3 linked regions of the Drosophila melanogaster genome follow. The protein of the gene in region 3 interacts with the protein of the main gene of each other region in a pairwise test. Each region holds a gene or a part of one and is shown on either strand. Other genes may lie near its edges. The genes, in order: CG7886, BI-1 and sosie.

Region 1 (7,038 bases), about 10 Mb from region 3:
TTATGACTTCCATATAATAGCTATGTATATATAGAAGGAAGCTGGACAAATTCCCTAAGATTTTTTCAGTATTTTGACACGTTATTTCTCTCTTCCAGATGATATAGCATTGAATGGCGCCCACTTGCTGGAGGAGCACGATCTGGTAAATGTGTTCGACACGCTGTCAGACGATGCCTTCAACGAGCTGTTCCAATCCGGTGTGTATTTAACCACAATTTTACTTGTTCAGCTTTTCATTGTACTAATCCATGTGTGCCTTCGCTGCCAACGCCACCGCCATCGCCTTGGACCTGTGCCTATGCAGTGCAACAAGCCGAGTGCGAGGCTATGGACCGGGCTTTGGACCGGGCCTTACAGCAGACAATGGGCGGCTCGGCGGACAGCGCCTTTCTTAACGATTTCCTGGACGTCGGCGACGATCTGCTGGCCGATGCTGTGATGCACTCACCAAACACGTCCGGCATCGATGCTCCTCCCCTCTTTGGGGACAGCAGCAGCGGCGGTGGCAATAGCAGCAGCAACGGCGCCTCCGACATCCGGGGCTTGGTGCAGACCTAATTCCGGCATCAGGTCGGATTTATGGCCTACAGAATTTACAGATTCATTTAGAGAGACAGAGAGAGAGATTTTCAAGCTTGATTTCCCATTCACTTTTAGGCAGTTTTCGCTTAGAATTTCGGTATTTTCTTTTTGGCCATTTCTTACCTGCGATTCTAGTTTGGCACAATGTTTCTATATGCAGCTTCAATGTTATGCATGCATTCACCAGCAGATATGCATGAATAAAATAGCATTCAAAAACCATATAGTTATGCGTTAATGTGAAAAACAAAAAAAAAAACACACACAAAAAGTAAAAAATTTGAAAAAATGTCCAAAAATATTAAATTCAACTTTAAATCAACATTAAGAATGAAATGTATATGTATCCGTACGCAAAAACATAATATTGTAAATTCGCGGAGAGGTGTAGCTTTACGTACATCTTAACGTAACTTAATTTGTTAGTGAACCAACAAAAGGATTGTAGAGATCAGCTTTATTATACATATAAACGAGAAATTATAAAACAATACCAGAGCAAACAGATAAAATGAAACCGAAATTGTAGGAAATCTAGCAACAAATTTTGAATTCTGAATTAAAGTTACGAACGCGATACATTGGAAAGTTCGTTAACATAAACAAGCCTAAAATTTGTTTAAAAATTTTGTGAACGCATTTACAACAACAACCACAACACCATACACTCAAATGAGAATTGCAAGAACTACGAAAACAAAACAGGTGAAGCTGAAATTGTTTAGTTTGATTTTAGTTCTTGGTTTGCACCTAATACACATACACATACACACCCACACCTAAACACCAACACACATACATACAACGTACAAGGGACTAGTTTGAAACCGCGAATCGTATTACTAAATATATATACAACTATATATACTTATATATATAAAATATAGCTATATATACATAATACCACTTAATATATCTGTACACATACTTTTAAGTGTAAGCTTTAATTTAAACCAACCCACAAACAAAGAAAAGAAAACCCTATAACAAAAAAAAATTAACAGATTGTAAAAGTGTATACTTGATTTATTTTTAAGCTCTTTTATTTAGCCATTGCTCGATGGCCACAAACTTTGTTCGATTTTAATTAAGCCTAACAAATTTTAAAAGCAAAATTAGGCTGACCGACAATTTTTGAGTTTTAGCATGCGTTTGTCTATTCTAGATTATGTAAATTAACAAATATTATATAGAACATAAATGAATTGTAATTTTCTTTAGTCTAGTGACAAGCAGCAACTTATAAATCGAGATATATTTATACAACAATACACAAAACAAGCAAGAAAACTGTTACGCTTTAAAATACGATATATACCGCTCACTGGAGACCGATCCCCAAATCACAGCCCTCAAGAAAACAAAACAAAAAAATTCACACCCAAACCATTCCATCTCCATCCATTGTAAGTTTTCTCATTTCTCATCTGTCACGCGGAGTCTAAGCAAGTATTAAATGAATGAAAAACGTTTAATTACACTAGATAACTATGTATTTGTATATGTATCACGCATCGAATTTTCATTACGTTAATGCACCACCCATGGCACACTCAAACACTTGCATCTTTCATAGGAACTTTCGTTTGGGCATAGCGAAACGATAGAGCAGAAGGAACTACTTTAAAGATAATGGAACTCTGTAAAATATGATATATAATAATTCCCCCACACTCTCACTCTCTATCTCTAAAACCCTATATAGATATATTATATAAACGTATGAATTCGTTCTTGAGTTAGTTGATTACCGATTACCGGGTTCACTTGATTACCGATTGAGTTGGCCCGCACTTTACTCTGATCTACTTCGCTGTGCAAGTGACGCGAACAAAATTAATGTCCTTTTTGTAGCGAAACTACAAAACCATGTATTTGATTATATGCTTTAAACCCTATTTTTATAACACTTTAATTTGTAAGAACTGTAGCGATGAACCTACAACCCCGCATCCCTCCAGTAGCCGCCTCTTTTTCACCATTTGAAGTTTTGTCTGTTTTCGGTATGAGGTACAATTTCATTTTGTAATTTACGTGCATTTTTGTGATCTAATTTGTGTAACTATTATAAACGAAAAAAAAAAGAAATACAAAATACTTTAAGAAAACGAAGCAAAAAAAAAAAAAAATAAAACAAATCAAAGCAAATGAAAAAAAGAATTGATTGATTTTATGGCAACAGAATATTTTACCCTGAAAATATAATACAGTATTTTTAGTAAAAAAAAAAAACCAAAGCATCCTGGCTTGTCATTGATCAATGGGAAATCGGTATGGGGAACTGATGGCTGGGTATCGGGAATGGGAATCTCGGCAGGCGGTGACCAGATTTTCATAGACTCACATTCGTTTAACAACATAATTTTCTCCTAGGAAACAGTTAGTTTGCCTTGACACATACTCCGAGTAACTCCCGAAAACAAAATACAAAAAACATCAGCAGAACCGCCGAATTAAGAAACCCGCTAATCCTTCCCAGGATTCTTTCAGTGCGTTTCGTCGAGTTGTGGTCGAGGATTCAAATTCAAAGGTTATATTGAAAATTATTATTTTCTATTTTGTTTTCCTTGCTCGACCACCAACCCAATCGCATCTAATCGCAAGGAGCATTCAGTCCAGTGCAAAAGAGACAAAAACTGACCAGATCTGGTCCGGATTATCCCCGTTTTGCTAAGGTGAGTGAGTGCCATGTGGCGGCATTTCCTACTCTGGGTTGTCCGTATGCAGCGATTATTACATCATATCCTAGCAGGCGTGTCGTTTGCTGTCGGTTGTAATGCATACAAATGCCTATCTGAGCTGCCGTCTCCCCGATTAGTCACTTTTTTTGTACGTTTGTAAGCTGCCGCCAGTTTTCAGAGTGGCGCCACGGGGATACGTGGAATAGCGTGGTAAGTGGGCGCCACATGCTCCACCATCGACCCCACTAACCGACTCCTCACCACCAGTTGTGCTCTACGTATATTTTTATATCATCATTGCGGAACCACAAAGCTCTCGACTACTTTCTAACTGAGGAACTGAATCAAAGGTGAGTTCAATTCAGCATATTCTGTATATTTGCGCTATGACTCTTTCCCGCATAAATTGATTTAAATAATATGTAGTTATCACCGACAATTATTACTTTATTTGCTAATACAATTTCCTTAATTTGTACGAATGCGTATGTCGTAGGACATAGCAGGACTAAAACTGTGTTTTAAGCTTCGATATATTTACATGGTCCCTACAAGCTGAACTTAAGCTATCCTTAATCCAAGTGCCATAAATAAGAGGGGGGGGGGACTGTTTGGTGCTATAACTCCGTGGTCTCCAGTTTTCGGGCCAGGATCTGAGCATTGTTGGTCATTTTGTCGATTTGGTTGTATAGATTAAAGTGCCGATTAAGATCATTGCTGTTGTTGAATAGTTTGGCAGTTCCCTTGAGCGTTTCGTGCATATCCTGTGTGGCCACGGCCAGAAAGTTATCATCCAAAGAGTCATGGCCACCAATACTATGGAGAAATAAGTGTTATATATTTAAGTAAGGGACGATTTAGTGATTTCCTCTATTATCGCACCTGCCACTTTCTTCTGATTTGAACCACTCGTTGTCGTAACCCTTTAGCCAAATAGGATTTGATCCTTGGACACTGTGCTTGTTGGTATTTGGCACTCGAGTGGCCGGCTCCTGAGCGTCTTGCAGGGACATCGAGGAGTGACCACCTAAATGGAATTTGTGTATTAAATATATTAATTTATCTTTTATCCTAATCGTTACTTACGGAATATATTGACTTTAGCGGCTCTCAGCTGCCTGCGGTATCCATTCCGTTGAGAGGCGCAAAGTGCTATAGTGACTACCAGTAGAGTGGCCAGAAAGAGGTTGGTGAAAATCAGCCACACGAATAAAGGACCTCGGCTGGGTCCCGCGGTCAGGAGCTGAGCCTCTGCCGCCTGCGTGTCCAGCACGTTGAGCTCTTTAAATAGCCCATTCAGGCTTTCGATGTGCGAGTCAATCAGTTTGAGCACCTCGGATACCTCGTAGATTGAGTTATCCTCCCGCTCGACTAGATGCATGTACAGATCCGTCTTTGTCTTGTCCACCGAACCATCCTTGTTCTCATGAACCTTAATCTCATCAATGTTTACAATCGATTCTGTTATGTTGCTCAGGGTGCTAAGGTATGGAAATAACATTAGAAGGGGGGTTATACTTTAAAATCAACTCAATATTTACTCTCTGAAGGAGTCCACTCGAGATCGCAGTTCGTCCGGCTGAAGTCTAAACACGAATCGCACCTTTTGGTCCTCTCTTAACAAGTAGATAAACACATGGGCCACATCCTTCATTCCTGAGGTGTCGTTGGCCAAAACGACGAAATCGAAATAGCCCTTCATTCCCTTTTGTGGGTCAAAGTTTAGCTGCACTTCTCCGGTTTCCTGATCGAGAAGGAAGGGAGCTTTGCGTACGTTCTCCAATCCCTCGGAAAGAGTCTGTCGGATTTCACCCACTTGGTAGTATCCAATCCTTCCATTATCTCCTTCATCTGCATCCGTAGCCTCCACTCGCATGAATTTTAAACCGAAATCAGCATTGGTCGTTATACCACCAGTAAAGATTTTAGAACGGAATCTCGGTGGATTATCGTTGATGTCCAGCACGCGCACCTTTACTTTTATTACAGTGCTATCTAGTTCTGGATGGGTTGTTGCCAATCCTCCGGTTGGATCCTCCTGACTACTGTCATAGGCTTCATACGATAACAGCTCTGCATCTTCTGGTCCGTATTCATTACTCTCTGTCGATCTCAATTGTCGAGAGTGTTTGAAACGATCATATCCAAACTGTTGGTTATGCACAATGCCTCCCAATCTATTGTTAATCTCGATTCCCATACGACGACGTTTTTCGCCACCAGATATAGAATCATTTCTACAATTCTCAGTGGCACGAACATAGAGCGTAAAATTGGCAATCACCTCGCGATCCAGTTCACGGTCAACAGTCAATATATGGGTTTCGGGATCGAGACGAAAGTATCCCGCTTCGTTTCCATTCACTATAAAGTAGCACACCTGGCTGGGCGTATCATTCGGATCGTCCAGTTCCAACTGATCCTTATCTATGGTGTCCGGTAGCTTTATTCTTTCGGATCCTGGATCCGAGTGCTCCGTGAAGTTTACGGATATTTCGTTAACCATAAACTGAGGCTCATAATCGTTAACATTCCGAACATAAATCGTTAGATCCAAGTCTGAACTCAGTGAGGTTGGCAATCCCTGATCATAGGCTTCTATACGTATCTGTAATGAAAATTATATCATATAGTATATTCTTTTGTGTGTTTATACTTTAAAATTTGTAGGTATAAGGAGATTTGGCATTTACCTCGTGAATCTTCTGCTTTTCGCGGTTAAGTTGTTCCTTCAGAAAGAGCTCCCCTGTGCTGCCGTCTACTTCAAACATTTTGTAGCTGCCCAATGGATCGGGTTTGAGTCTGTATCTCACCAAAGCATTCTGCCCCATATCCCCATCACTGGCATATGCCTGTAGTATCAGCGTTCCCACAGTCGCATTCTCCGGAATGCGAACAGTGGTGTTATGAAGTGGCCTCACAAAAACCGGAGCGTGATCATTGAAATCCGATACGCAAATATCCAAGGTGTTGTGCACAATATTGGCTGGAAGGCCCATATCTCGCGTAGTTATAGTAAGGCTATAGTTTCCGTATCTATTGCGCAAACTTTTGCTAGCGAAGATTTGGGCATTCCAAGCGTCTATCTGGCGCAGCTCAAACATACCTTTAAGTGCAAATATATTTAGTGATTGAAAGACTTATTCTCCTTCAAATCCTTACCATCTTTGTTACCCCGAGTGATGGCAAAATCGAGTCTACCATTTGGCGTAGTGGGGTCATCTGCATCCTTGCCCACTATGCTTGCCACTCGTTCATGCAACTCGTGATACTCAGTGATTAAAACACAACTCATGGGCAAGTCAACCTCTGGTGGATTATCGTTCTCATCGAGTATGGAAATGCTGAAAGAGCTAAATGAAATAAATTTGTCAAATGCTTAAATTTTTATAACTTACAAAACCTGTTTGAAGGCATTGCGACTTTCTCCGGCCAGGAATCCGAATTGATAGTTATCCCAGGCCTCGATAACCAGGTTGTAGGAATCCTTAGACTCCCTGTCCAAACGATCGGCCACCGTTAGCACCCCAGTGTCTGCATCTATGGTAAACTTTCCCTGCGAACTGATGCGATCCATCAGGAAGGTGATCTTGCCAAAATCTCCCGAATCCGCATCTCCAGCCTGGAGAGTGGCAACTCTGGTGCCTGGAGCTGCATTTTCACTAATCGTATAGTTCTTGCTGCCACCCACAAAGTAGGGATTGTTATCATTCTCATCCAGCACTGTTATATACACATCCACCAGTGAGGATCTTGCTGGAATTCCAGAATC
Region 2 (7,038 bases), on a different chromosome or scaffold from region 3:
GCTCATGGGGAACCAACAGCCGCCACCCCGGTATCCGTCAGCGCAGGGCCAATGGCCAGGTCAGCGGCCAGGCGGGCCGCGACCAGGTCCACCGAACGGACCACCGCAGCGACCAATGGTAACAATCCCCAAAGCACTGAGTCCTCTTTGTATCTATGCCATAATATAATTCTAACGAAGCCAGAGAGAAGGCGAGATAAAGGAAGACTAACCCAACTTAAGTTAACCTTAGTTAACTTAGTCTTAAGCGATGTATTCAGAACATTTTCAGTAATTCCACAGATCAACCCATGCAACACAAACTCATACTATAGCTTAGAAACCGATTCGATCCGATCATTGGGAACAGTAAATAATCTTGTCTCTTCTGCCTTGCAGTTCCAAGGAGGCCCAATGGGCATGCCCGTCAGGGGTCCGGCAGGTCCCGACTGGCGTCGTCCACCCATGCACGGTGGTTTCCCGCCGCAAGGTCCGCCACGTGGCCTTCCCCCAGCACCAGGTCCGGGCGGACCACACGGCGCACCCGCACCCCACGTGAACCCAGCATTCTTTAACCAGCCTGGTGGTCCTGCCCAGCATCCGGGCATGGGTGGCCCGCCCCACGGAGCACCAGGTCCACAGCCAGGCATGAATATGCCACCGCAACAGGGCATGAACATGACGCCACAGCATGGACCGCCACCCCAGTTCGCCCAGCATGGACCACGTGGTCCGTGGCCGCCACCGCAGGGTAAGCCACCAGGTCCCTTCCCCGATCCGCAGCAGATGGGTCCGCAACTGACGGAGGTGGAGTTCGAGGAGGTGATGAGCAGAAATCGCACAGTCAGCAGTTCGGCGATCGCCAGGTGAGTGCAAAGGTTTTTAAAATGTTTTCTTTAACGAGGTCAAAACTTGTAGTTATTATTTAAAAACTAACCCATTCCTAAGTCGAATTCATAGAAAATTCCAATTATTGAAACTATGACTCAGATCCGGTCTAATTAATAAATTATCTAGATAATTAATTACTTTGTTGATCAAATATCAATTCCCTTTTTATGCTAATTTATTTTCAGAGCTGTTTCTGATGCAGCCGCTGGTGAATACTCGAGCGCCATCGAGACACTGGTCACAGCCATTTCACTGATCAAACAGTCCAAGGTAGCGCACGATGAGCGATGCAAAATTCTGATTAGCTCGCTGCAGGACACGTTGCATGGCATCGAGGCCAAGAGCTACAATAGGCGCGAAAGGTCGCGGTCGAGGGAGCGATCTCATCGCAGCCGACAGCGACGTGAGCGTTCCACGTCCAGGTACCGCGAGCGATCTCGGGAGCGGGAACGCGATCGGGATCGTGAGCGTGAACGGGATGGCGGGTAAGTTTTGGTTCTACCATGTGTAAGCCTCACACTTAATTCCGTATTCATTTTCTAGAAGCTACAGAGAGAGGTCTCGCAGTAGAGAACGTGAACGCCAGGCTCCAGATCACTACAGGGATGACAGGTAAAGACGTTCTACTTCTAAAAATTCGCTTCACTGTCTCATTTAAAAGTTGCTGATTAATTAATCATAGTGCTTCATTTAAATAGCATAGAACTCATAATTTATTCACTCGTAAACAGATTTTTTACTTTTGCTGTAAAAACAAGTGTAGATTTGTAAAGTCAGACGAAACTTTATTTTAAAATATTTGGAAAAATGTATAATTTATTAAAAGGTAGTATTTTTAAGGTATAGGCTTTTCAAATTTTTTATTTTCATTAAAAGCTTTCTGTAAAGATGTTAGCTTGAATTGTAACTGTTTAGGCTCATCAGAATATTTTTGCTCTTTTGTGCAACAATATACGGTGACAATTAAGCGAATTATTTTTAAGCTCGAAATGAAAACCTTGCGTTAATTTCAATCCCATAATCCGAAAACAGCCGATCGGTGCGTCCACGAAAGTCGCCGGAACCCGTAGTCGCCGAAGCAGCGGAGGCGCCATCATCGAAGCGCTACTACGAGGATCGGGAAAGGTACCGCTCCTCGGACCGTGAGCGACGCGACCGCGATCGAGACCGCGACCGCGAGCGGGAGCGTGATCGCGACAGGCGTGAGGAGCACCGTTCCCGGCATTGACTGCCGTAAGTGGAAGTTGGAACCATCGCCAGTGGACCCGTAATCAAGTGTAAAGATGCAACACAGATATACTAAACACACTCTATTAACAAACAATAAGCCGCAGCTTGGTGGGATGACAAGCTAGCCACAATTAACAGATTTTCGATTTGTATCTAACATTACCAATACGTAGGATATGAATATGGCAAACAGCATAGTTCTTCTAGACATACTATAATAAGCCGAAATGCTGACAAGATTTTACCAACGACGGACGGGGACTGCCTCTGGATCCATCCAACTTCACATCACAGAATCCTGGCAACATCAAGACCGGCAGACCGAAGTCAGCAGCAGTAGCAGGAGGATCGATGGAGAAGCCAAGGGGACAGTCAGCGTGGGACATTATAGACACTGATGCGCACTGGATCATCAAACAACAAACAACTAGCATTCCTGCACCGCCGTCTTCGCAGCAGAATTTCAATATTATTGTACTCTAAAATTTCGGTTTATTTAATAAAACATAAACGTATGAAAAAAAGAATTGTTCCAGAAAAAACCTTTACCAAAACTGTCTTGTATTGTGTGTCTTCTTGTACTCTTATTATATAAAAAAAAAAACATCTTATTAGTTAATGACTTTATAATTGTACAACAAAATTGTATGTAAAAATTACAAAATTATTGCACTTGTGCGTGCAATTAATATGGAAATTGTTATATTAACAAAATCATTTTGCCGACTGAGGCCGAAAATCGTTATCCCTAATGTATTTTCAAATATTTCGCGATCTTTTGTTGTAAACATTCTCCACGCATTTGTTTAATCTTGTTTTTATTTAACAATTAAACTTAAGTCGATCATAATTGTGTGCTTGAGACTGAGTGTGAGTGAATTTTTGTAGCATTCAAATGCCGACTGAATCCATCCGCATAAACGGATGGAGAAAACCATATGTTTGTATAGAATAAGTCGAGTGTGTGCTTTTAGCCCAAATACCATGATTTTTAGACTAAATTACTCTAAAAGAGAAACGTCCCAATCGCATTTATCGTAGTTAACTATACTAACGTTACAAGCTGATGTAGTTCCTAACATAGGTTCCAAGAAAAGAACAAAGTCATTCAGTTCCCCCCGAGATACTGTACTACTCGCGGCTCATTTTACACAACTTAGGCCTCCAATTGTATCATCTACATTTTACTTTTTTAAATTCTAGCTTTACTTTTAATTTGTATATACATTTTGTAAACGATACTCGACTAAGATCATGTCCCACTAATCCCGAATTGCAATTACACCTTGTTAAATCAAGTCTACGATTTGAAAAGTACCTGTAACTCTCCGCAGAGCGAGAGCCTAGAGGTGTTAAGAGTATTATGAGCTTAACGATGTCTTGTACAATTTATACTGTGATTGTGATCTCGATGAAACAAACTACATATGAATTTATACAAACCATTACTGTCTGTTAAGTCATGCCAAAGCAGGTAATGTTGTCCCATTCTTCTGGGACCCTATATATACACTATAGAATTTTTAGAGTTTTCTTGTTTTATGGACAAGTAACAGCACCTAGTCGCCCAATTTGCCATAGTTTATTATTTACCATGTACAATGTTTTTAGAAAATACGCCAATTACCTTGTTTTTGGATCTAGCGCGAAATAAAAAAAACATTTACTAGTCGTTTCGAACTTCGTTGCTTTTCAAATGGAAAGTAGGCAGCGCGCGCAACCGAAAAACACGTCATAGAATCATCTGGAAGTTCGAAAAATGTCCGTTTACCCAACACTGACTCAGGTGGGCAATTGTCGAAAACACCACCTTATCAACAGTGCTGACGGTGTTCTAGTTTTGAAAAAAAAAAGGCTGGTATAAAATCCAAAAGATTTATACAAAATTGAACTGGAGTATTATTTATTTATTCAATTAACAGGATTATATGTTAAACTTAATTTATAGTATGTTGTACAAGTATTTATGTGTATACGGTGAGTTTAATAATGAATACGAGCATAAAGTTCAAATCTAAATGTAGCTGTAAAAAGACCACGTCGTCAGCACTAACCTATAGCAACTTATCCAACACTAAAAGCTGATAAAACAGATTTCGTGAAATACAGAAAGAAAAGGCAAGAAAATAGAGCCGAGTAGGCCTTACAAAGTAAACAGTCAGTTTTAAAACATCAGTGCAAACAGTTCTAATTCACTCCTCCGTTTGACAAACTTATGTGTAATATTACTGGAAACTAGCAAGAGCAAGTGCGAAAAAGACTACAATGGCAGATACTGCGAATTACATCAACGACCGTTTCCAGACCTTCATGAACGGGCTCGGTGACCGTTAGTAAGTATTACATGCCGATGGGTCACCCCCTTAGAGGTTGGGGTCCAAGTGCGTTGCACTGACGTGTTGTTTTGGTATCCAACCACATCAACAGTTGTCCATCGGATCGATGGACCTTGAAACTAATAGTCCTCCTTTTATTTCCTTCAGTGAGCCCTATGTGCGCGAGCACCTGTCTAAGGTTTACATGGTCCTGGGCAGCACTGCCGCTGCCACGGCCATGGGAGCCATGCTTCAGATGCGTGACTTTCTCGATCTTGGAGTCCTGGCGGCGGTGGCCACTCTAGTCCTGGTCTTGGGTCTGCACTTCTACAAGGATGACGGCAAGAACTATTATACACGTTTGGGCATGCTCTACGCCTTCGGATTCTGCTCCGGCCAGACGCTCGGACCGCTCCTCGGCTATATATGCAGCATAAATCCGGCAATAATCCTGTCTGCCCTTACGGGCACCTTCGTCACCTTCATCTCGCTCTCCTTGTCCGCCCTTCTGGCCGAGCAGGGCAAGTACCTCTATCTGGGTGGGATGCTGGTTAGCGTCATCAACACCATGGCGCTGCTGAGTCTCTTTAACATGGTCTTCAAGTCCTACTTCGTGCAAGTGGTGAGTGCCCATTAATTTGCGTATTAATTTGTATCCTCTAAATCTAATTTCTAATTTCCATTCCAAGGCATTGAAAACTGAATATTTCATAATTGTAATACTTAACAAATTCTTATTTTCCTTATAGACTCAACTTTACGTCGGCGTTTTCGTTATGGCTGCCTTCATCGTCTACGATACACAGAACATTGTGGAGAAGTGCCGAAACGGAAATCGAGATGTGGTGCAGCACGCTTTAGATTTGTTCTTCGATGTACTCAGCATGTTCCGCCGTTTGCTGATTATACTGACGCAAAAGGTATGTTTCCGCGACAAGGGTTTATCCCAACGATCAGTTGTTATATAGCCCCCTTACCCAGCTCAAGACCTTCATGGTTTAAGATAGCTCAAGCCGGAGCCAGTTGCCCAAAATAGCTCAATCAGATTATCCTCGAAAACATGCTGATCACTTTGCAAAAGCTTCCAGTATAAAATTCGATGTGAAAAACCATTTTAAACGGTATTTCCTGCAGCCAAGGCAATAAGTGTACTTTCACAGTCAGGCTAGGATCCTTAGGTCTATATAAACCACTTGTGGGAAGTATATTTATTTCCAAAAACTGCCAATGAAACTTTTTGCAAAGTTCTCTAGCTGTTTGTGAAATTATATTTATGTCCTTTGCTTTTGCACCGTTTAAAGGCAATACCAGTAATGCTCTTAATTATTTGCAGGAGGAGCGAAAACAGAATGAACGCCGCCAGAACAAAACTAAATAAACTTTTATGTGTAACAGCCACCACAAGAAAAACATCTGACACGGATTTTGGAGGCAGATTTCTCATTCTAGAAAATTATTCGCATTGAATATTAATAATGCCGTGTACATTTGGCTTTAAATTTACAGACATATATATCCAATATAAAACCCATGAAATTTTTCCATTTAATAAACACCACAAGAAGTAAGCTCATCCGCGTTTCTTGTCCCAAACATGGCGCAGTAGATAGACCATGTTGATAGTATCGATTAGGGGCGGAGGGGTCAATTAATTAGGCTAAGTGCACTCTGCAGGTAATAACTTGATGTTAGTGGGAATCGGTTATTCAAAGCTGTAGTGTTCAATGGACAACATGGCGCAGGCGGAGGACGCAGTGCAACCACTATTGCAGCAGTTCCAGCAACTGTTCTTCATATCCAAGATAGCTGGAATTCTGCCACAGGATCTCGAGAAGTTTCGATCTAGGAATCTGCTGGAGAAATCCCGTAATGGCATGATTTACATGCTGAGTACTTTAATACTCTACGTTGTGCTCTATAATATTTTGATATATTCCTTTGGAGAGGAGGACCGCAGCCTAAAGGCCTCGCAGAGTCAGTTAACCATCCGCCTTGAAAGGTGCAAACTCATAACCATGTTATTCATTCTTCCCAGGCACCTTGACTTTCGTGATTGGCTTGTTCCTGACCTATATCGGTCTGATTATGATGGTCTCCGACCAGTTGACCGCGTTACGAAACCAGGGTAGAATTGGAGAGCTTTACGAGCGCATCCGTCTGGTGGATGAGCGCCTTTACAAAGAGGGGTGTGTTATGGACAACAGTACAATTGGACGGCGCATACGAATTATGCTGATCATGACGGTCATCTTTGAGTTGTCCATTTTGGTGAGCACCTATGTCAAGCTGGTGGACTATAGTCAATGGATGTCCTTGTTATGGATAGTGTCCGCCATTCCCACGTTCATCAACACGCTAGACAAGATCTGGTTCGCTGTTTCGTTATATGCGTTGAAAGAACGCTTCGAGGCCATAAACGCCACCCTAGAGGAACTGGTGGACACGCACGAGAAGCATAAGCTGTGGCTGCGAGGCAATCAAGAGGTTCCGCCTCCTCTGGACAGCTCCCAGCCGCCTCAGTATGACAGCAACCTGGAGTATCTGTACAAGGAACTAGGAGGTATGGACATAGGTTCCATTGGCAAGAGTTCAGTGTCTGGTTCGGGGAAAAACAAAGTAGCAC
Region 3 (7,038 bases):
CGTTTGGGTTTTTAAAGGTTTTTATTAAATAGTATAGATAACAGCTACGAAGAAAACGGTTTTAATGGGTGAAATTCTTATCTGGACCTGCAACTTGGACATGAAAATATTATTAACTTTTATCGTCTCCCATATTTTATTATTATTATTATTATTATTATTCCATTCGATTATGGGCTGTGAGCTCGTAAAGCTATTTATATTGAATACATACAAAAATTAAAAATGTTTCACATTTGTAATTGCGATGTAAGCGATCTGAATTCACAGTGCTGCTGAAAAGTTGCCTATCACTAGATAATTTCTCTCGATTTTTAGTGATTATTCCTGGACACACACGTACACTCATATAAAATTACAATAAAATGGTGCCTAACATTTGATCTAAAGTTACTTCGGTCTGTCTAGTGTAGGGAGTACGGACTAAGTTCGATTGGGGATCTATGGAAAACGTTTATCAGATAATATAATTATGTATATTGTATATAACGCAACTTTTCGTGAGAAGCGAATAAACTTGACGGTGGTACATATGAAACTTATACAATAGAACGACTTTTAGGCTAATGGCGACGAGTATCTAACTTTCTTAATTTCATTTCCACGTATTTTCTCTTATTTTTTTCGCTTTTCAAGATTTACTTTTCGTATTTTTTTATATGTGAGGGGTTAGTGGTAGGGGTAGGATGATCTTTTGTTTCTGTTGGTTTCACTGAGGCACATTTGATGGATCACTGGGGTAGATAAACGCCAAACTACGTCTTCCGGTTCCGCTTTCGACGATCGCCTTCTAGAAATGCTTTCGCATGTGGGCGGATACCAAAAAGGGCGCCAGAAGTGAGCAGATCGAGACCAAGAAGCTGACCAGGCCCTGAAGATTAGCTGAAAGGCAAAGAAGATGGATTAGGAACCATGATACATCCTATTTTTGTGTGTACTATATTTGTAATACTATGACAATAGTTATAATAGTTATGGAATGTATTGGATGAGAAACCTCTCACCTCCACTGCAGATGTCGTGCAGGATGTCCTCCACATATCCGTTGTCGTTGTCGCAGAGACACAGCTTGGTCTTGCTGGACATGAACTTGGCCACTCCGATGGTGCGGTTGCTGTTCTCGTACTGGCACACCATTCCATCCTCGCAGTCGTTGTTGCTGTTGCACTTGTGACGCAGGCCTGCAAAATGCGCAAATATTATTAAGATATTAGCATACCGCCAGTGGAATTAGCTATACTCCATGCTTATAACTAAATTTAAACCGACTCAATACACCGGTATCATTTAGCAGCCATTTTATTATAATAACGCTATTATGCAGACCTATAATAGTCTGGAAATTCTATACTCTGGTGTATTACAATGTATCCCCGCCAGAAAGTAGATCTCCAACACGGAGAACAACTCCCAATGCCAAAAACTGGGGAAACGTGCATGCAAAAATCGCGTATAACATTTCTTCTGGGCTGTGCATGTCACAAATTGGCACTGCGGCGATTCCCATTACCATTTGCCTCTCGTTTGGGGCCTCGTTTGAGTTGCCCCATCGGAGGAGTCACGACATCCTAACATAAATCCGACATCGACATTGCGCCGCCATAAAGCGGTCCACCTCTGGCCCCGCCAAGAACTGGAGTGGAGCTGGAGGAGGGCTGGAGAACTGGGAAACTAGAGGACCCAAGACCAAAGGACCAAAGAACCAAGGGACTGTAGGGCCAACAATGGCGGGCACATGACCCAAGGATGCCGAGAAGGCAAGTGTGAATCGCGCACGGAAAACTAAATAAATAAGCAGGCAAATAGCGAAGAAAGGTGAAAGTGGGCTTTGGGGGTGGCCATTCTGGAAGGATGCTTCTTTGTTTAATTCTCATTTAGGTGGCGCCTTGGACGCATCACCTCACATGCCACTTGAGGCACTGGCTCATCACGGAGGAGGCCTCCAAGAAAGCAGCGGCCTCTTAAATAATAAATGTAATGTGCATGTCTTAGCAATTAGCTGACTTTTTGTTGGCTGTTCTATTTCGGGAAACGAGCTAAAGGATTCTGCAAAGGCGGGCGGTCAAAGGAGCGGAGATACAGAACATTATGATTAATATTTAACATCAATGATTTTTTAATTTTTTTAACATAAATAAATAGTAACTAACTGACTAGTAACTAAAGCATATCAGCCGCGAAAAATTTATTTTTAGGAATGCTGTTTAAGTGTCAGTGGTTTCTCTAGATTACAACTTGTATATTTATATCCTTGGGGAATATGGGTAAGTACTTTTCTATATAGGTGATACATTACCTTTCAGGACATCTGGACAGCTGCCAGCCGAAGGAGGCGAGTCGTCGCCGCATAGGCAACGCAGCTTGTAGTCATTGGGATCCTTGACGCAGCTGGTGCGATCTATCGCCGTGCAATCATCGTGGGCACTGCACTCTCGTCCTTTAACTGCAATTAATGATAGGAATCCAAGTTAAAAAAGGACACTTAACTAGCCAGTTTGCCTAGCTAATTGCCCACTAATTGTGTGATTATTTGGGTACCAACTTGAGCCAACACAAATCACCGCTTGTCCGCCTATCTATATCTACTCTATCCGTTTCGGTTTACCAACTCCAATCACAGGGATATTACCGCCCCCGCTCCTAATGTCAGGGATTCGTGGAGCGTGGGTTGTCATTGCACTTGAGTGACTTGTTTGATCAATTCTCGATTCGATTTGTGTTAGCAATGTTCTGTGTTCTGTGTCGTGTCGTTCAATCTGTGCTGGCTCTGTGCCATAATTATTATTCCATTTATTTATGAGCGACTACCAAGTCAATCGAATGACAAATGATTGGATCAGACAAACTGGATGGTTGGCTATTTGTTTGGCTAACGACCAGGTGTCTTAATTAGCGGTTAATCGAACTTAAGTGATGTGGGGCTTTATCGGGAAGGTCTAAGACAACGTATATATCACATTATAATGAGAGTCAAGTTAAGTGCATTAAAATAGTTAACTTCTAACTCAAAATCAGTTTTTTAAAACAGAAGTTAATGTATCTCTTTGTTTGGTATTTTTCTTAAAGAATAATCTTATATGAATATTGTTATAGTAATAGTAGTCATATTCACTTATCGGCTAATGCTGGAGTACGAGTTATAGCAAAATTACTGCACGATTACTTTTAAACTCGAACCACTTTTAATCCCTCGCCCAATCTTGACAAGAAACTCCTCTTGACCTTGCCAGCGACTTTGATGGGCCTTTTCGTTACCAACCCCGGGGGTTCTCTTACCAATTGGGACGTGCGTGGGAGGCGGCTGATTGTTGGTCTTGCCAAAAGTGGTCAGAGCCGTGGAGCTGACCCCGAAGAGGATGATGAAGATGCCGAAGAGCATGGTCAGACTGCCGCATTGTGTGAAGCGCTTCAGGGGCTGCATTTTGGAATCGGTAACTAATCGAGTTTTGAGTCGAGACCAGGACTTGAAGAAGTCGGAAAGAAGTCCTTTTTCGGGTCTTATATAAATTCCACAGGACCGCAACGGGTTGCACACGCACTTTGCGAGCTTGAAAAACGGCCCAAAGGCTTTAAATTGGTTTACTTAACGCTTTTTTCGTTTCTATGTCGGTTTCGCGGGCACAATTTTATGCAAATTTTCACACCGAAATCGTTTCCGCTCCGCCAGAAAGTCCGAAGCAAAACAAAACCGCACGAGAGGCGTCACTCCAAAAAATCTCCAATACTTTGGGGCACTCGCTATAGTCGCAACTTCCACTTGGGGTCTTCGGACGGGTAGCTCCAACCAGTCGCCTGCGCGCTCGAAATGCAAGTGAAGAATTCGCGGCGCACACGGACCTTAAGTTGCTGCGATGTCGCTGCTGGTGGCTACTTGGCGCTCGCGCACACCGGCGCCACCTTCCACCTCCCACCTGCCACCATCTGCTACCCATCTGAGTGCTCCTCGCCAGCTAGCCACCCACCGCCCCCGCAGTCCGCTCACCTGCTCAGCCAGGCATAGAACCCCTTTGCCACATTGGCGGCGAATGATAGTCGTCTTCCAGATACCCTTATATCATACTTAAGTTCCCACTCAGCAAATCTTCTTTAATACTTTGTATAATAACAATACATAATATACTTGTATTTATTTTAGTAAATTGGAAGTTGAGATACCATATAGTTATGTACTTATGTTACATGTGTAATTTTAACAGAAGTCTATACTCTACAATTGGAAGTGAAGTTCTGGTTTGTTAAAAACAACAGCTTCATATTTCATTCTTAAAAAAATAACTCATAATATATATGGTAAAATATATACAACTGAATATCAAGTTAAACAATACAGGTTTTTATGCGTTATGGGAAACGATTCTGCTGACGCACACAAAAATTGGCAGCAATGAGCTTCCCACAAAATGATAAAACATTAATTTTAGATGTAGGCAACCAAGTATACATACGTCCAACCAATTGCGGCTGAGTAGAAATGAATTCACGCATTCCGGGACATTCCATAAAATCGGATTCCAGAAGGACAGACACCCGCATGCATAATTAAGAGATCCCCCAAGTGGGCAAAGGGTATTCCACCTAACCAATGTTTCGCTGACAAGAAGCTAGATAGCATGGAATCTCCGGGCAGATTTCGAAACTTTCGCAGGCAGTATGGGATTAGTTTTGGGCCGTATGCTATATGGTATATGCTATATGGTGTATGGAAAGTGAGCTGCGACGCACTTGTAACTGTTTCGCTGCTTTTGTGTATTTCGTGAGCGAGTTTTGTTAACGAAGATGGATTTTTGTAGCTGCCTCACCTTCGTGCACCTGTTTTTATTGTAGCCGCTGGCGGTGGCGACCTCGTCCTTTTCTCCTCGTCCTCGTCTTGGGTGTGTGTGTGTGGCAGTGGGTGTGTGTGTGGGAACTATAATAATGACGAAGGCATTAGAGGCATACGACCATTGCATAGCCTACTTTTTGGGGCCCACGGAGTTGAGCAACAGCCACAACAACAATAAAGTGTAACATTAGCACGCACCAGGCGAAACAACAACAGAAACTGGTTAGTCAAAGGCAAATAGTTATTTTGGCCATTATTCTTTGCTCGCTCCCTAATTTCTCCTGCCGTTGTTTATGATTATTTTTTCCCCCTTTTTTTACTTTTGGGCGCTGCATGGCCCTAATTACATTTGCTAAATTGCCCAGATGAGAGTGGCTTGCTTGTTGCTTTCAACTTTTAACTTTTTTAACTTTCAGCTGCAGAATGCAGCTAAGCTGTCCAAAAAAGAAAGGTGACTGGCCACGCCCCTTTAGCCCAATTTGGCAAGGCACCATTTAGGCGGATATCGAACAGGCAGAAACGGATGCCCAACTTTTGGCCATGTCTGCTTCAATCGTCTAAATATACGAAGCTCCACTTTTCAAACTGAGCCAATAATTTACACCCACCCATTCGAAGAGGAACACTTTGAGGTCAGTTGGGACATGAAGAACTCGCCCAATTTGCCAAACACAAATTCCTTTGCACTTCATGTACTTTCGACCCTCTTCCGACTCCGATTGTGGAAAATGTCAGGCTATATGGGTCCTGGTGCTCCTTATCTGCCTTCTCGATCGCCTTATAAACGATTGCTTTAATCGCTGCGACAGCATAAACAATTTTCTCCAACTAAATGCGAATTTATATCGCACACGCACAGCGAACGGAAAGGAAGTCCAGAAAATATATTCACGAAAATCGGTGGATATAACTAAATGGGACACGAATCTGGTCGGGTTCAAGGACCGTGGAAAGCATTAAGCCAATTTTGGAAAATATATTTCAGATATCCTAATATCTCTGTTTGCTTAACTTATATTAGAAAATTTTTATGATTTTCTTCAAAAATTGTAAAAGGTAAAAAAATTATTTTGAGCGATATTGAAGAGATTTATAAGACACGTGGGTCATTTTAAAGAATTGGATGTACTTAAAATTATTTAAATAAGTTAAAAGGCACTAATTATATTGGATTTCGTAATTGTTTTTCTAGATTTGCCGACTTGACAATGATTTATTCCATAGTACTTTCTCCATTTACGCAAATCCCGCCGCACCGCGTCATTCGGAATGGAAAATATTTATATTTACATGTAAAAATAAGTTCCTTTAATTATTATTCAGCCAGTCCAGTCCATTCAATTCGCCATGCGGCAGAGTCTGAAATTTATTTCGGATATTTATTTCTTGACATTATTGATAAATGTTGCCGGGCACAGCAGAGAAACGGAAAACAAGCAGGAAAATTATATGGAAAACTCACGAAATCTTTTCGCCAAATCAGAAACTGCAGCGAATCGTAGGCGCCGCCAGTGGGTTTTCCCCCTCCCCTCTCCAAGGAAAATGCGAAAGACCACCGTAATTAAAGAACTAATTCGCTTTCAACAATTTGGGCGTCATGTTTTTGCTCTTAACTGATGATTAATTAGTGCGACTGTAGAATTTCTACCAGCGATATATAATTTTCTCACGAAATCTCATCGAGCTGTACACTCATGCCCAGAGGTCATCATATTACTGCTGATTATAACTCAGAGTGCGGAGCATTAGGCCCTCGAAAAAATGCCAATTTAAGGGACTTAATTCCACATTATGGCCACGTCTAATTGCGGCTACACACACACACTCACTTACCTCACTCACTGCATGCAAGTTTGTTTTCGTGCGTTCCAGGACATGCACACACCACATGGCTTAGTCCTTAAAGGACTGCCAGCTCCTGCCCCCGAATGTTGCATGCGCCGCAAGGCGAGCTCTTCGATAGCCGCTGTTACTTGTTTTAGCCTTGTCTGTTGGCCAAGTCTTGACCAAATAACCTTTCCATGACTTTCCCAATTTATCACTCGACACATTGCCACATTGCCACATTGCCAGCTAGCTGAATGCAGCTAAATGCATGCTAAATATATGGGTGGCCAGTCGTATAACGATTATTTCAAGTTCATTTGTTAATGCACACCTTGATTTTAGCAATGGGGCGACACTTTTGGGGGTCTTTCGTCTTGGCCAATTCGCAT

What was found.
Region 1: the proteins of sosie (region 3) and CG7886 interact in a two-hybrid assay, tested with the Drosophila melanogaster proteins (one large-scale study listed by BioGRID).
Region 2: the proteins of sosie (region 3) and BI-1 interact in a two-hybrid assay, tested with the Drosophila melanogaster proteins (one large-scale study listed by BioGRID).

Annotation. Positions count from the first base shown.
Region 1 is NT_033777.3:14,638,458-14,645,495, reverse strand, and holds the start of CG7886 (uncharacterized protein), read left to right. Parts: upstream 1-2,932; 5' UTR 2,933-3,260; intron 3,261-3,337; 5' UTR 3,338-3,476; intron 3,477-3,533; 5' UTR 3,534-3,616; intron 3,617-3,719; exon of another isoform or gene 3,720-3,883; coding exon of another isoform or gene 3,884-4,082; intron 4,083-4,148; coding exon of another isoform or gene 4,149-4,293; intron 4,294-4,352; coding exon of another isoform or gene 4,353-4,747; intron 4,748-4,807; coding exon of another isoform or gene 4,808-5,874; intron 5,875-5,959; coding exon of another isoform or gene 5,960-6,372; intron 6,373-6,428; coding exon of another isoform or gene 6,429-6,610; intron 6,611-6,664; coding exon of another isoform or gene 6,665-7,038. Other genes in the region: l(3)L1231 (lethal (3) L1231), read left to right, coding at 99-200, 308-561; Cad88C (cadherin 88C), read right to left, coding at 3,884-4,082, 4,149-4,293, 4,353-4,747, 4,808-5,874, 5,960-6,372, 6,429-6,610, 6,665-7,038. UniProt on the Drosophila melanogaster protein: May play a role in cilium biogenesis.
Region 2 is NT_037436.4:8,306,091-8,313,128, reverse strand, and holds BI-1 (Bax Inhibitor-1), read left to right. Parts: upstream 1-4,187; 5' UTR 4,188-4,365; coding exon 4,366-4,433; intron 4,434-4,583; coding exon 4,584-5,037; intron 5,038-5,164; coding exon 5,165-5,335; intron 5,336-5,396; coding exon of another isoform or gene 5,397-5,417; exon of another isoform or gene 5,418-5,536; intron 5,537-5,748; coding exon 5,749-5,793; 3' UTR 5,794-5,984; downstream 5,985-7,038. Other genes in the region: Cpsf6 (cleavage and polyadenylation specific factor 6), read left to right, coding at 1-118, 379-845, 1,056-1,355, 1,414-1,482, 1,903-2,098; Gr66a (gustatory receptor 66a), read left to right, coding at 6,149-6,389, 6,451-7,038. UniProt on the Drosophila melanogaster protein: Suppressor of apoptosis. Modulates unfolded protein response signaling. Negatively regulates autophagy and autophagosome formation, especially during periods of nutrient deprivation, and reduces cell survival during starvation.
Region 3 is NT_033777.3:24,833,456-24,840,493, reverse strand, and holds sosie (sosie), read right to left. Parts: upstream 3,814-7,038; 5' UTR 3,422-3,813; coding exon 3,277-3,421; intron 2,444-3,276; coding exon 2,297-2,443; intron 1,182-2,296; coding exon 1,005-1,181; intron 883-1,004; coding exon 791-882; 3' UTR 6-790; downstream 1-5.